Linked DNA regions of Saccharomyces cerevisiae S288C. The protein of the gene in region 1 interacts with the protein of each later gene in a biochemical or structural test. Each region holds a gene or a part of one and is shown in the gene's direction. Other genes may lie near its edges.

Region 1 (2,808 bases):
AAGATTATAAAATTGATGTCGGTAAAATTAAACAAGTGAGCTTAACAAACCTCCAAGACGATTGGATGGGCGTTATCCTTGTTAATAGTACACAATCCGATCCACTCATTAACACGCCTTTCAAGACGGAATTAATGACACGTTTGAAAAAATTAAATGAAAAGATAATGATAAAAGTTGGTCCCACGATTGAGTATCACAAACAACCAAACAAGTTGCACACTGTCCGCTCAAAGATAAGCGATTCAGCACCGAAATACGGTGACATCTACAAGTCAAGTACAATATACGTGCGTCGTGGACACCCTGCTAACTCCAAATCGAATAAAAAACCTAAGAATCCAGGTGGGTTGAGCGGGAAACCTATCAAAAGCAAAAAGAGTAAACACAAATCTACTCATAAGCATACACATAGCCATAGAAGTCATAGGGATGCTGCAAAAAAGCAACCTCTCCCTTCGCAAAAACCTGTGAATCCGTTATCTTTGGCAGCTACCGCTGCACAGGCAGCATACAATCCTAAACCGGATAAGACCGTACCAATAAAGTCATCTGCAATCCCTGCTGCAAAAGTAAGCTCGAAACACAGCTCAAAACCCTCATCGAAGGAAAAAGTCGCAGTAAAGAAAGCCTCCTCAAGCCACAAATCCTCATCCGCCAAGCAAAACCAGGTATCGATGCCACCTTCAAAAGGGGTTGAAAAAAATAAAGAACCGTTAAAGGAGACAACTGCAACTGCAACTGCAAACATACCAATACCACCACCCCCTCCCCCCATGGGCCAACCAAAGGATCCGAAATTCGAAGCTGCATACGACTTTCCAGGTTCCGGATCATCTTCGGAGTTGCCATTAAAAAAGGGCGATATTGTATTTATAAGCAGAGATGAACCTAGTGGTTGGTCTTTAGCAAAGCTTCTCGATGGAAGCAAAGAAGGTTGGGTTCCTACTGCTTATATGACTCCTTATAAAGACACAAGAAATACGGTGCCTGTTGCAGCGACAGGGGCAGTGAATGACGTTACAAATCAGAAATCAAGCCAAATCGACAATACCATTTCAAGTGCACAAGAAGGTGTACAGTTTGGAAGTGCAACAGTTGGACCCACTAGTGATAATCAGAGTAATCCGGTGGGGACGTTTAGCGACGGTTTAGCTTCTGCATTGGCAGCAAGAGCAAACAAAATGCGGGCGGAAAGTGCTGACGATGATGATAATGACGATGGCGATGATGATGATGACTGGTAATTAACATGAATATATAGATGTTTAGTCTCTTATAGAATGGTTCTTCGTGCATGCCTCTTAACATACCAAAAGTGCATTACATATACTTTTAAACATACTCTCGCAGAAAGTTAAAGTCCCTTTTTTTTTTTTTTTTTCATTTTTTGTTTGTATTTTCCCGTTTTGAAAAACTCCCACTTTAATGCAGGACATCGTTCAAAACAAGCTTTAAAGATTTGACAGTAAAATCCTCACTTTACTCAAGACATTTTTCTCAAAAAAAGAGAAAGCACAGTAAACCCTCCTTAATTTTCCTTTTGCATAATACCAGACACTTAAAAATGAGCAAAGACAAAGATATCAAAGTCACTCCTGGAACTTGTGAATTAGTTGAACAAATACTCGCCTTACTCTCCCGGTATCTCTCATCTTATATTCACGTGCTGAACAAGTTCATCAGTCATTTGCGAAGGGTAGCTACGCTACGATTCGAGAGAACTACTTTGATTAAATTTGTTAAGAAATTGAGATTTTACAACGATTGTGTGTTAAGCTATAATGCATCAGAGTTTATCAATGAAGGTAAAAACGAATTAGACCCAGAGGCGGATTCGTTTGACAAGGTAATTTTACCAATAGCTTCAATGTTTGTTAAATGTGTTGAAACGTTTGACTTACTGAACTATTATCTAACGCAGTCATTACAAAAGGAAATTTTATCTAAAACTTTGAACGAGGACCTAACGCTAACAGCAGAGTCCATATTAGCCATTGACGATACCTACAATCATTTCGTGAAATTTTCTCAATGGATGATTGAGTCTTTGCGTATAGGCAGCAACCTGCTAGATTTAGAAGTTGTTCAATTTGCCATTAAATGCGCAGATGAGGACGGAACGAATATCGGAGAAACTGATAATATCTTCTTGCAGGAGATTCTTCCTGTCAACTCCGAAGAAGAATTTCAGACCTTGTCAGCTGCGTGGCACTCCATTTTAGATGGTAAGCTGAGCGCCTTGGACGAAGAATTTGATGTTGTCGCTACTAAATGGCATGACAAATTTGGTAAATTGAAAAACTGAGGCCTTCAGTTTTTAGCTCAAAAAGAGCAAATAAGTACCACTAGTTAATAGAACATATATATATACATGAATAGCCTCATCACATAGCACAGAAAGTAAGCTTTCAAAACACTGATGATCGGCTCTTATTCTGGCGTACTCATTTTCAGCATCTCAAACCGCGCTGTTTTTTTCTCACTTTTTGATACAATAGGTATGCAAAGGAGAATGGCAGGTGTGCCAAGGAAAAAAAATATGAGGAACTATAGCCTAAAATGAAGCCTCCTCTGATGTGGGAGGGACCCCAATTTAGGTCAATAATGATTTTTTAAATTTATATTCTTGTCTTAATGAAACTTGAGTCAAGTCGACCAGTTTCCTGACGATTTTGATATAGAATAATATTGCTCGTTTGGCCGGCAACAGATTACATAAGAAGCAGATGGATGATATAAGCGGAAGGCAAACTTTACCTCGAATAAACCGTTTGTTGGAGCACGTGGGAAATCCCCAAGATAGTT
Region 2 (7,848 bases), on another chromosome or scaffold:
TTAGCTCTTTAACGATCTTGTCAAAATTTGCAATGTTTTTAACAAGGTCATTTTCATCTTTCAGAACCTCATCTTTCAAACTGTGCTTTAGTAAAGCTTCTGTCTGCTGTAACTGCAATCCGATATGACGCTGATAGTAGTCTAATTCATCTGAATTTAGCGAAAGATTCGAACTACTATATGTGATATTTCCAGGAGGTTCAAGAGGATCAACAGCCACTGACTGTGAGAATGACGTCGATGATGAAGACGATGAAGAAGAAGACAACGAAGATGAGGACGACTGCGAAAACGATGCATTGCAGGCGTCTTTTGGCGAAAGCCCAATGGGATTAGCAACGGCAGGAGAGGATTCGGAAGCTACAGAGGGCGGTCTTGAGGGCGAAACATGTTTCTTTGGTGAGCTTTCAAGATCATGGTAAAGCAAGCTCTGTAACGATATATCTGTCTGCGTGCTAGAACTCCCGTCTGATGAATGCGAATGATGTGTGGGTCGCTTGGAAGGCTTAGATATAACATTGGGCAATATTGGATCGAAAGCCGGCGCCAGTGCAGACGAATCCTTAGATTGCCCAGACGAAGAAGGCTCCATGGATTTCAAAAACCGGTGAACCAACCTTTTCTTGTCCTTCACGAAGGACCGGGAAGGTGATTTAAGACCGTACTTGTCGTTGTCTTTGTAATGGCGATGGGCTGGGTGCTGCTGGGCTTGCAACATCTTAAATGAGGGAAAATGGTCTTTGGCAGAGTATCCACCATCGAGAGGCTTTGATTCTACACTATGCTGCGGGAATGGTCCTTTAAAGGTGGCGACTACGTTAAATGGGTGTTTTGGCGAGAGTCCAGAAGACTTCATCGTACTGAGACTTCGTACTTTATCTGGTGCTGCGTTGAACATACAATCGCTGAACATTGCGGTCGAGGCAGACGTGTAATCCGGAATAACTTGACGATGCAGTTTATGACGAGCATGATGGTGCTCCATTTCATATTTCTGCTCTTTTTCGTGTAATGCAGCCAAATTACTGTGAGAGGCTTGCCATCCAACGTTTGGCTTAGTTTCAACAGTAGATTTGTGGCCAACATCTGGTGTTCCAGCGTCAATCATTTGCTTTACATCTTCCAGGGGTCTCTTTTCTACACCATCTTTGCTATTGCGATCTGTACCATCTATTCCGCTGCCTTTAGAAGAGCTCTTTATTTGAGCATTTTGCATTGTACCTGGACAACTACTGGACTACGTAAAAAACTGCCATCAATTTGTGTTATTCTTACTCTTTGAGACAATGTTTCATAACAATAGAACAATAGCTTTTTGACCTTCCCCTTATTTTATTTCAAAAGGTAACAGTTAGGGCTATTCTTAAACTTTCTTTAGGGTACACAATGAAAACATCAAGATTGAGTTAAAACCCTTAAAATAAAACTAGGTCTTTAAGAAACTCACTCTCCGGGTTATCCATAGAATGTTTACCATTCTTTAGGGTTCTGAACTAATGCGAAAAAAAAAAAAGAAAAGACTGAAAAATTCGAAAATATCTCGAAGTTTAGCAGTAGTAGATGAGAATAGGGTCTCTTTTATCGAAAACCTGCAATTGTAATACAACCTTTTTTTGAAAGTCAGCCTTTATTCTGATTCTGCATACTCAATTCCTCAATTCCTACGGAGTTATCACCTTTTTTTTTACCTTCTCTTCTTTTCTTATTGTTCTAGCTGAAAACATTGTTACCAGTTTGGCGAGACAATTTATTTTCAATACGATACCCTTTTGTTCTTCTTTTTATAATTCAATCTAATTCTAAAACACAAAAAAACAAAAAAAATCCTATAACCAGTTCTCCCGCATGTCATTTGAAGTAGGAACTAAGTGTTGGTACCCTCACAAAGAACAAGGCTGGATAGGCGGCGAAGTCACCAAGAATGACTTCTTTGAAGGAACGTTCCACTTAGAGTTGAAATTGGAGGATGGAGAAACTGTATCCATTGAAACAAATAGCTTCGAAAATGATGATGATCATCCCACGCTACCTGTACTACGAAACCCACCTATTTTAGAGTCTACTGATGACTTAACCACCCTATCATATCTGAACGAACCGGCAGTGCTGCATGCCATAAAAAAAAGATACATGAATGGACAGATATATACTTACTCTGGTATTGTCCTTATTGCCGCTAATCCCTTTGATAAAGTCGACCATTTGTACTCTCGCGAGATGATACAGAATTATTCTAGTAAGCGTAAAGATGAGCTGGAGCCGCACCTTTTTGCCATAGCAGAGGAGGCGTACAGGTTCATGGTCCATGAAAAGGCTAACCAGACTGTTGTAGTCAGTGGTGAATCCGGTGCTGGTAAGACCGTCTCTGCTAAATACATTATGAGATACTTTGCCTCAGTCCAAGAAAGCAACAATCGTGAAGGGGAAGTGGAAATGTCTCAAATCGAGAGCCAAATTTTAGCTACTAACCCGATCATGGAAGCCTTTGGTAACGCCAAAACTACCAGAAATGATAATTCCTCTCGTTTCGGCAAATATCTGCAAATTTTATTTGATGAGAATACTACCATCAGGGGGTCCAAAATTAGAACCTATCTCTTGGAAAAATCCAGGTTAGTTTATCAGCCAGAGACAGAAAGAAATTACCATATTTTTTACCAAATTTTGGAAGGATTGCCAGAACCGGTAAAACAAGAACTGCATTTGTCATCTCCCAAGGACTACCATTATACTAACCAAGGTGGACAGCCGAACATAGCTGGTATAGATGAAGCTCGAGAATACAAGATAACCACTGATGCCCTGTCATTAGTAGGTATAAACCACGAGACTCAGCTTGGAATTTTCAAAATTCTTGCAGGCTTGCTACATATAGGTAATATCGAGATGAAAATGACTAGAAACGACGCATCACTATCATCGGAAGAGCAAAACCTGCAAATCGCATGTGAATTATTGGGTATTGATCCCTTCAATTTTGCAAAATGGATTGTCAAGAAACAAATCGTCACAAGGTCTGAAAAAATTGTCACTAATTTGAATTACAATCAAGCGCTAATTGCTAGGGACTCTGTGGCGAAATTTATTTATTCCACGCTTTTTGATTGGCTAGTAGACAACATTAACAAGACATTATACGATCCTGAGCTGGATCAACAAGATCATGTCTTTTCCTTTATTGGTATTTTAGATATCTACGGGTTTGAGCATTTTGAGAAAAACTCATTCGAACAATTCTGTATAAACTATGCGAATGAAAAATTACAACAAGAGTTCAACCAGCACGTTTTCAAATTGGAGCAAGAAGAATATGTAAAGGAGGAAATTGAGTGGTCTTTCATTGAGTTCAGCGACAACCAACCTTGCATAGACTTGATTGAGAATAAACTTGGAATACTTTCTCTATTAGATGAAGAAAGTAGATTACCATCAGGCTCAGATGAATCATGGGCCTCAAAACTATATTCTGCCTTTAATAAACCGCCCTCAAATGAAGTTTTTTCGAAGCCAAGATTCGGACAAACGAAGTTTATAGTAAGCCATTATGCTGTTGATGTAGAATATGAAGTTGAAGGGTTTATTGAAAAGAATAGAGACAGCGTTTCCCTAGGTCATCTGGATGTTTTCAAAGCAACGACAAATCCAATTTTCAAACAAATTTTAGACAACAGAGAACTTAGGAGTGACGATGCTCCTGAAGAGCAAAATACTGAAAAAAAGATAATGATCCCAGCAAGATTAAGTCAAAAGAAACCAACCCTGGGATCTATGTTCAAAAAATCGCTCGGGGAATTGATGGCCATCATAAATTCTACTAATGTTCATTATATTCGTTGCATAAAACCAAATTCTGAAAAAAAGCCATGGGAGTTCGATAATTTGATGGTCTTATCGCAATTAAGAGCTTGTGGTGTGCTGGAAACAATCAGGATTTCATGTGCAGGCTTTCCATCAAGATGGACTTTTGACGAATTCGTTCAAAGATATTTCCTCCTGACGGACTACAGCTTATGGAGTGGAATTCTTTATAATCCAGACCTCCCAAAAGAGGCAATCGTCAACTTCTGTCAATCTATTCTAGATGCTACTATCTCTGATTCAGCAAAATACCAAATTGGTAATACCAAAATTTTCTTTAAAGCAGGAATGCTTGCATTTTTGGAAAAGCTAAGGACTAATAAAATGAATGAAATATGCATCATAATACAGAAAAAGATAAGGGCAAGATACTATAGGCTTCAGTATTTGCAGACCATGGAATCAATAAAGAAGTGCCAAAGCCAAATTAGAAGTTTGTTGGTTCGTACAAGGGTCGATCATGAGCTCAAGACAAGAGCTGCCATATTACTACAAACGAACATTAGAGCATTATGGAAACGGGAATACTATAGAGCTGCCATTGGGCAAATAATAAAACTACAATGTACCTGTAAAAGAAAATTGATTTTAGATAGTGTTAACAGGAAATTCATGCTCATGGCGGCAGTAATTATCCAAAGCTACATCAGATCATATGGTCACAAAACAGATTACAGAACATTGAAAAGGAGCTCCATTCTTGTACAAAGCGCCATGAGAATGCAGTTAGCTAGACGAAGGTATATAGTTCTGCAAAAAGAAGTTGAAGAACGGAATATTAGGGCTAGTTACGGGATTGGATTACTGGAGGAAGCTATCGAATTTAAGAACTCTTTCATTTTGAATCTAGAGATGTTAAATGACTCATATACAAGATTAACACAGTTGTTGCAGGGAGATTTGTCAAATATTCCATCTAAGCAAAGGCAAGAGTACGAAACGATAGTAAATGGTTATAATGATAAGATTTCCAAGCTGAAGACGTTACAAGTTGAAATCATGAATACTTTAAACAAGAAGAATGCCTTGAAGGAGAGAAAAAAGAAGCAATCTTCTTTAATACAGTCACATATGCAAAGTTTGGCTGCTATAAAAGGTAACAAACCTTCAAGATTAAGTGATGAAGTCAAATCAATGAAGCAAGAACTAGCGTTTATTGAAAACGTAATAGCACAAGATTTCACCACCACATATTCTGCTAATAAGAATGATAAAGTGAAAGGTTTGGGAATCGCAGGACAACAAGTAAAACCGAAGCTAGTCAATGTAATTCGTAGAGAATCAGGAAATCCTGATCTTCTAGAATTACTAATGGACCTGAATTGTTACACATTAGAAGTCACAGAAGGTTACTTGAAAAAAGTAAATGTTACTGAGGTGAATGGAGACAATGTTCTGGGTCCTATACACGTCATTACTACAGTGGTAAGTAGCTTAGTGAGAAATGGGTTATTGATTCAAAGTAGCAAATTCATCTCGAAAGTCCTATTGACTGTAGAAAGCATTGTTATGAGTCTACCAAAGGACGAAACAATGCTTGGTGGTATCTTTTGGTTAAGTAATCTTTCCAGACTTCCCGCATTTGCTGCAAATCAAAAAACATTATATGAAGCGAATGGTGGTGATGAAAAAGATAAGTTAACACTGATATATTTGAATGATTTGGAGAATGAAACTTTAAAAGTATTCGACAAGATTTATTCCACTTGGTTAGTGAAATTCATGAAGCATGCTTCAGCCCACATCGAGATCTTCGATATGGTTTTAAACGAGAAGCTATTTAAAAATTCTGGTGATGAGAAGTTCGCTAAATTATTCACATTCTTAAATGAATTTGATGCTGTCTTGTGTAAATTTCAAGTTGTTGACTCAATGCATACAAAAATTTTTAACGACACCCTGAAGTATCTGAACGTAATGCTATTTAATGACCTAATAACCAAATGTCCCGCGTTAAATTGGAAGTATGGGTACGAAGTGGATAGAAATATCGAGCGGTTGGTGAGCTGGTTTGAACCAAGAATTGAAGACGTTCGTCCCAATTTGATTCAAATAATTCAGGCTGTCAAGATATTACAGTTGAAGATAAGCAACTTGAACGAGTTCAAGTTACTATTCGATTTCTGGTATGCCTTGAATCCAGCCCAAATACAAGCAATTCTGTTGAAATACAAGCCTGCTAACAAGGGCGAAGCTGGAGTACCGAACGAAATCTTGAATTATTTAGCTAACGTGATCAAAAGAGAAAATCTGTCTTTGCCAGGGAAGATGGAAATTATGCTTTCTGCCCAATTTGACTCTGCTAAAAACCATCTGCGTTATGACACTAGTGCAATAACACAGAACAGCAATACAGAGGGCTTAGCTACTGTCAGTAAAATTATAAAATTAGACAGAAAATAAGAACAAAGTAAATATACGCCCATATATGTATATATGTATATATACATATATCCTACACTACATATGGAAGCTCCCTATATATATAGCATTGCGAGTGAACTTCTATCGACTAAAGTGAACAGCAATGGGGACGATGATTACAACAAGCAATATGATGATTACTAAAGCCAGACACATCTTCATTTTTAGATCCTTGTACCACATGGCTTTTCTGACCCTATTGGCACCCCTCTTAAAGCCTTGGGCTGAGACCGCTAGGTTATCGGCTTTATCTTCAATGGACGTTAATCTTTCACCTCTTTCTGCTACTTTATTTATGTTATCTCTCATTATTCCCACGGTATCATCAATTTCCTAAAAATAAACACGAAGAACGTATATGAATGTATACGCATAAGTATCAACGATGTAGAAAGTTAGTATAATGTTAATTTCCTAGATGGTACTCTGTGGCTTTCTGTACTTACAGCTTGTAGTTCCGCAGTCCTTGACTTAGACTGTACATTCTGGGGTCGTTCTTCATCGTGCTCGGATAGAGCATAAGGGTCAAAGGGAGTAGATGACGACATGGACAATGAATACGTTGCGCTTGCTATGTCTTTGGCGCAAATTTTCAATGTTTAACTAATACTTTTGACGATCTTTCTTATAGATGCTGTGGGAAAGACCCTTAAAAATGTCTGTTACCCTGCAATCAATGGTTGAAACAGCAGGAAGACGCATAATAAAGGCATATGTTTGAAGTTTGTTAGCGAATGAACAATGATAAAAGGAGTGATTGGAAGCTGAAGGTTGAGGATTTAGACTAGTTTTATATTACAACATGGTAGATGTGCAAAAGAGAAAAAAGTTGCTAGCCAAAGCTGCTGCCAGCGCTTCTATTCCGGCAATCAAAGGTTCTGTTCCGTTGGACTCGTATGATATAAAAATCATTCAATATAAGAACGCTCTTTACAAGCTGAATGAACTGAATAGGCTACTAAACGTTCTGGTACCGCATTTGAAGAAGAAAAGAGACAATGACGAGTCCTACAAAATTATTCCCCTCGTTAATTTCATCTTATCACTTTGTGAGGGTCCTATATTTAATGTAAGCCCCGTATTGGCTAAGAGGTACCATTTGCTCTGTCGATTCCAGCTGATAAAGCTAAGCGAAGTGCAGCAGAGATTATCAACTAATTTTATTGATGTAGAGGGCTGGATGTTTCCCGAGGAGGTACCCCTAGATCACTATAAATCGTGCATATACAATAATTCTCTACAATGGAAGATTTTAAATTCGCTGTCTTGCATTGCTCAAAATGCTATAAAAATTTATAATGCCAAGTTGAGACAGATTTTATTGGAAAGGGATGCGTACAAAGCTCGGTCACTTCCATTTGACACTTCAATAATTGAAGACTTGTTAAATCCAGTTGAAATGACATTGATTCTAGATTTAGCCGTTTTGATTAATGATCCAGTAAGGGATAAGTCCACCCATTCCTTTTACAAATTGCAATGGCAAGTGATGGAGAAACTGAACTCCTGTGTTCATTCGAAAATCTTCCCCATTCTAAGGACATATTACAACCAATTGCAGAAATT
Region 3 (5,484 bases), on another chromosome or scaffold:
CATGAAATACAGAGGGCTCCCGCTAGCGATGATGAAGATAGGATTCAAATTAAACCCGTGAACGACGAGGATGACACGTCGGTCATGATCACTTTTAACCAATCTCTTTCGCCCTTCATCATCACTCTGACTTTTGTCGCATCCATATCCGGTTTCATGTTTGGTTACGACACTGGTTATATATCCAGTGCGCTGATCTCGATCGGCACAGATCTGGACCACAAGGTACTTACTTATGGGGAGAAGGAAATTGTCACTGCGGCTACCTCTCTGGGAGCTTTGATTACCAGTATTTTCGCCGGTACTGCAGCTGACATATTTGGTAGGAAACGTTGTTTAATGGGTTCGAATCTGATGTTTGTCATTGGCGCAATCTTACAGGTCTCCGCACACACATTCTGGCAAATGGCTGTTGGTAGACTGATCATGGGTTTCGGTGTCGGTATCGGCTCCTTGATCGCGCCACTTTTCATCAGTGAAATTGCTCCCAAAATGATCAGAGGGAGACTAACTGTCATCAATTCCTTATGGTTGACTGGTGGTCAATTAGTCGCTTACGGTTGCGGTGCTGGGTTAAACTACGTCAACAATGGTTGGAGAATTCTTGTTGGATTGTCACTAATTCCCACTGCTGTGCAATTCACATGCCTGTGCTTTTTACCTGACACTCCAAGATACTACGTTATGAAGGGCGACTTGGCAAGGGCTACTGAGGTGTTGAAGAGAAGTTACACTGACACTTCGGAGGAAATCATTGAACGTAAGGTGGAAGAACTTGTTACTTTGAATCAATCTATTCCTGGTAAGAATGTCCCTGAAAAAGTCTGGAATACCATCAAAGAATTGCACACAGTACCATCTAATCTAAGGGCTTTGATCATTGGTTGTGGTTTACAAGCAATTCAACAGTTTACCGGTTGGAATTCGTTGATGTATTTCTCTGGTACCATCTTCGAAACTGTCGGTTTCAAAAATTCTTCCGCTGTTTCAATCATCGTGTCCGGTACCAATTTTATTTTCACTTTAGTTGCCTTTTTTTCCATTGACAAAATAGGCCGTAGAACCATATTATTGATTGGATTACCAGGCATGACCATGGCTTTAGTCGTGTGCTCTATTGCTTTCCATTTTCTAGGTATTAAGTTTGATGGCGCTGTCGCTGTGGTGGTTTCCTCCGGTTTCTCCTCTTGGGGTATTGTGATCATCGTATTTATTATCGTATTTGCTGCGTTCTACGCTCTTGGTATCGGTACTGTTCCATGGCAACAATCGGAACTATTCCCCCAAAACGTGAGAGGTATTGGGACTTCATATGCAACTGCTACAAACTGGGCTGGTTCACTGGTTATTGCATCCACATTTTTGACCATGTTACAGAATATCACTCCTGCAGGTACATTTGCCTTTTTCGCGGGATTGTCGTGCTTATCAACCATTTTCTGCTACTTCTGTTATCCAGAATTATCGGGATTGGAGTTAGAAGAGGTACAAACTATTTTGAAGGACGGGTTCAACATCAAAGCCTCGAAAGCTTTGGCCAAGAAGAGAAAACAGCAAGTTGCCAGAGTTCATGAATTGAAATATGAACCAACTCAAGAGATTATAGAGGATATATAGTCCTTTCACGAGGTAAAAGGAAGGAGACGCAATTGAATATTCAAATACATAGTAGAAAATAAATAAAAATAAATTACAAGATAGAAAAAAGTTCATTGTATTTAAGTCGAACTAATTGTTGTATGCATATATAGAAGATTAACTAACCCGGCATTGAAGACCTTTTTTTTTTTTCACCTTGAGAGAAATACTGAAAATTTTTTTTGCTGGGATGAGATGAGATGCCTACCTAAAGTATTTCGAAGGTGAAAGCGTTTTATTATAGAGTACTGAAATAAAGCACAATCAGGAATAACAAATTAACTGACAATGGCACCTTTAACCAAGAAGACAAACGGAAAACGTTCTGCTAAAGAAGTTAGTCATTCAGAAAAGAAATTAGCCAAAAAACCTAGAATTTCTATTGATTCGTCTGATGAAGAATCAGAACTATCCAAAAAGGAAGATGCTGTATCCTCTTCATCAGATGATGATGATTTGGATGATTTAAGTACCAGTGACTCTGAAGCAGAAGAAGAAGCTGACGAATTAGATATTTCCGATGACAGTGAGGAACATGAAAATGAGAATGAAGAGAAAGAAGGAAAGGACAAATCTGAAGGAGGTGAAAATGGAAATCACACTGAACAAAGAAAACTGCTAAAAGAAAGGAAAATGCAAAGAAAATCTGGTACCCAAGTGCAACAAATTAAATCCGTCTGGGAAAGATTGCGTGTGAAGACCCCACCTTTACCAAAACAGATTCGTGAAAAACTTTCCAACGAAATCTGGGAGCTATCTAAGGACTGTATCAGTGATCTTGTCTTAAAGCATGATGCTTCCCGTATTGTTCAAACTTTAGTCAAGTATTCGTCCAAAGATCGTCGTGAACAAATTGTCGATGCTTTAAAGGGAAAATTTTATGTTCTAGCCACATCTGCGTACGGTAAGTATCTATTGGTTAAGTTACTGCATTATGGTTCAAGAAGTTCAAGGCAAACTATAATAAATGAATTACACGGTTCTTTGAGAAAATTAATGAGACATCGTGAGGGTGCCTACGTTGTTGAAGATTTATTTGTTCTTTATGCCACACATGAACAAAGACAACAAATGATTAAAGAGTTTTGGGGCTCTGAATATGCTGTATTTAGAGAAACCCACAAAGATTTGACCATTGAGAAAGTTTGTGAAAGTAGCATTGAAAAAAGGAATATTATCGCCAGAAACTTGATTGGTACCATTACCGCATCAGTAGAAAAGGGTTCCACCGGCTTTCAAATTCTACATGCTGCTATGAGAGAATATGTGAAAATAGCCAACGAAAAGGAAATATCTGAAATGATCGAATTGCTTCATGAACAATTCGCTGAATTGGTGCATACTCCAGAAGGTTCAGACGTTGCTTGTACTTTGGTTGCTAGAGCTAACGCCAAGGAAAGAAAGTTAATTTTAAAGGCTTTGAAAAACCACGCCGAAAAATTGATCAAAAATGAGTACGGTAATATTGTCTTCATTACAATTCTGAACTGTGTTGACGATACAGTTTTAGTATTCAAGACTTTCAGTCCTACTGTTAAGGAACATTTGCAAGAATTCATAATTGATAAGTTTGGTAGAAGGCCTTGGTTATACATACTATTAGGTTTGGACGGTAAGTATTTCTCACCTATCGTCAAGAATGAATTATTGAGATACATTGAACTGTCCAAAGCCACCTCTAAGAAGGATCCTTTACAAAGAAGGCACGAACTTTTGTCAAAATTCGCCCCCATGTTTTTAAGCACTATATCAAAAGATTATTCCAGTATATTGACAGAGAATCTAGGCTGTCAGTTCATTGCCGAAGTTCTAATAAACGATGAGTTGTACGCGCAGCTGAATGAAAAAGACCAAGAAAAGTATCAACAGGTCTTAAACAACATTTTAACTACTTTTAAGGGTGACATAACCGAAGAAGAGCACCCAATACATAGAGCATTTTCTACTAGACTATTAAAGGCACTAATTCAAGGTGGTAAATGGAATAACAAAGAAAAAAAGGTCATACCATTAAAAAATGTTCAAGGCTTAGGCGTTCCATTTGCTGAAAAGTTATACGATGAAATTATTGACTCCTCCAACTTGTTAGAATGGATTAATAACGCTGATAGTTCATTTACAATTGTTGCACTGTATGAAACGTTAAAAGATCAAAAAGAAGGGAAACCATTTTTGAAGGATTTGAGAGGAGTTCAGAGTAAAATCACCACTGATGAAAGTAACAAAGGCTCTCAGCTTTTGGCTAAATTGTTAAAATAAATTTTCTACGATAAAGTCACAATATTTGGTATATAAGCATCTGTACAATAATAATAAAAAGCTTGATCTCATTGAAAGTGCAGGTATATATAATTGTCTCCTAAAAACTCCTTACATCGCATAATATCTGTTGAAGATACCGTTCCGATGGGAAAAAAAGGCAAGTTTAACTGGAAATATTCATATGTACTTACTATTTTATAACGACATTAGTGAATCAGAACTATCATAACAGTCAAGGAGACTACCTTTTTTTGGTTGCAACCATAATATTATAGAACCATGGTAAAAAAGAAAACGAATAATGACAAAGGAAAAGAAGTAAAGGAAAATGAAGGAAAGCTCGATATAGATAGCGAATCCTCACCTCACGAAAGAGAAAATGACAAAAAAAAAACAGAAGATGATAGTCTACGTGCAACAGAAAGTGAAGAGACGAATACACATAATGCTAACCCAAATGAAACAGTACGAGCTGATAAATTTTCCCAGGAAGAGAGTCGACCAATCGAAGACAGTCCACATACTGATAAAAACACAGCACAAGAAAGCTGTCAGCCTAGCAGCGCAGAAGATAATGTCATAAATACAGATATTACAAGCTTAAATGAAAAAACCTCCACGAATGATGAACAGGAAAAAGGGTTGCCACTGAAAATAAGCGAAGGTCCTTTTACAATCTCTACCCTATTAGACAATGTACCATCTGACTTGATATACACATGTTGTGAGGCGTATGAGAACCACATATTCTTGGGAACAACTACAGGTGATCTTTTACATTACTTTGAACTTGAACGTGGAAACTATATGCTTGTGTCGCAAACAAAGTTTGATGCAGAATCAAATTCGAAGATAGACAAAATCCTTCTTTTACCTAAAGTAGAAGGCGCACTAATATTATGTGATAACGAACTAGTTTTATTTATTCTCCCAGAATTTGCACCAAGGCCCAACACAACTAGACTTAAAGGTATTAGTGATGTCGTTATTTGTAATTTTTCCCGAAGCTCGAAGGCTTATAGAATATATGCATTTCACGCAGAAGGCGTAAGACTACTCAAAATATCTGCAGATTCATTAGTACTTACCAAAGCTTTTAATTTCAAACTAATAGATAAAGCTTGTGCGCACGAAGAAACATTAATGGTTTCGAAGTTAAATAGTTACGAACTTATAAATCTAAAGTCGTCACAGGTAATTCCATTATTTCGAATAAGTGAGACTGACGAAGACTTAGAACCTATAATAACCAGTTTCAATGAACAGAGTGAATTTTTAGTTTGTTCTGGAGGAGGATCATACGATAGTGGGGCGATGGCCTTAGTGGTAAATCATCATGGCGACATAATAAAAGGAACTATAGTGCTAAAAAATTATCCAAGAAATGTAATTGTTGAGTTTCCCTACATAATCGCTGAGTCTGCTTTCCAGTCGGTTGACATATATTCTGCCTTGCCGAGTGAAAAATCCCAGTTGTTGCAAAGTATAACTACTTCTGGATCGGATTTAAAAATTTCAAAATCTGACAATGTATTCACTAATACCAATAATTCTGAAGAATTCAAAGAAAAAATATTCAATAAG

Evidence for each region. Proteins that work in one complex are often made in the same cells at the same time.
Region 2: the proteins of SHE2 (region 1) and MYO4 form a complex in vitro, tested with the Saccharomyces cerevisiae proteins (3 studies listed by BioGRID, with this or other methods).
Region 3: the proteins of SHE2 (region 1) and PUF6 form a complex in vitro, tested with the Saccharomyces cerevisiae proteins (one study listed by BioGRID).

Annotation. Positions count from the first base shown.
Region 1 is NC_001143.9:194,788-197,595, reverse strand, and holds SHE2 (She2p), read left to right. Parts: upstream 1-1,567; coding exon 1,568-2,308; downstream 2,309-2,808. Other genes in the region: MYO3 (myosin 3), read left to right, coding at 1-1,247; RMA1 (putative tetrahydrofolate synthase), read left to right, coding at 2,730-2,808. UniProt on the Saccharomyces cerevisiae protein: RNA-binding protein that binds specific mRNAs including the ASH1 mRNA, coding for a repressor of the HO endonuclease. Part of the mRNA localization machinery that restricts accumulation of certain proteins to the bud and in the daughter cell.
Region 2 is NC_001133.9:86,268-94,115, reverse strand, and holds MYO4 (myosin 4), read left to right. Parts: upstream 1-1,845; coding exon 1,846-6,261; downstream 6,262-7,848. Other genes in the region: FRT2 (Frt2p), read right to left, coding at 1-1,216; SNAP receptor SNC1, read right to left, coding at 6,364-6,615, 6,729-6,830; protein phosphatase regulator GIP4, read left to right, coding at 7,085-7,848. UniProt on the Saccharomyces cerevisiae protein: Part of the mRNA localization machinery that restricts accumulation of certain proteins to the bud and in the daughter cell. Recruited to specific mRNAs including the ASH1 mRNA, coding for a repressor of the HO endonuclease, via its interaction with SHE3.
Region 3 is NC_001136.10:1,439,846-1,445,329, reverse strand, and holds PUF6 (Puf6p), read left to right. Parts: upstream 1-1,926; coding exon 1,927-3,897; downstream 3,898-5,484. Other genes in the region: myo-inositol transporter ITR1, read left to right, coding at 1-1,617; CORVET complex subunit VPS3, read left to right, coding at 4,180-5,484. UniProt on the Saccharomyces cerevisiae protein: RNA-binding protein involved in post-transcriptional regulation. Component of the ASH1 mRNP which transports the ASH1 mRNA to the distal tip of the bud, where the ASH1 protein is translated and targeted to the daughter cell nucleus.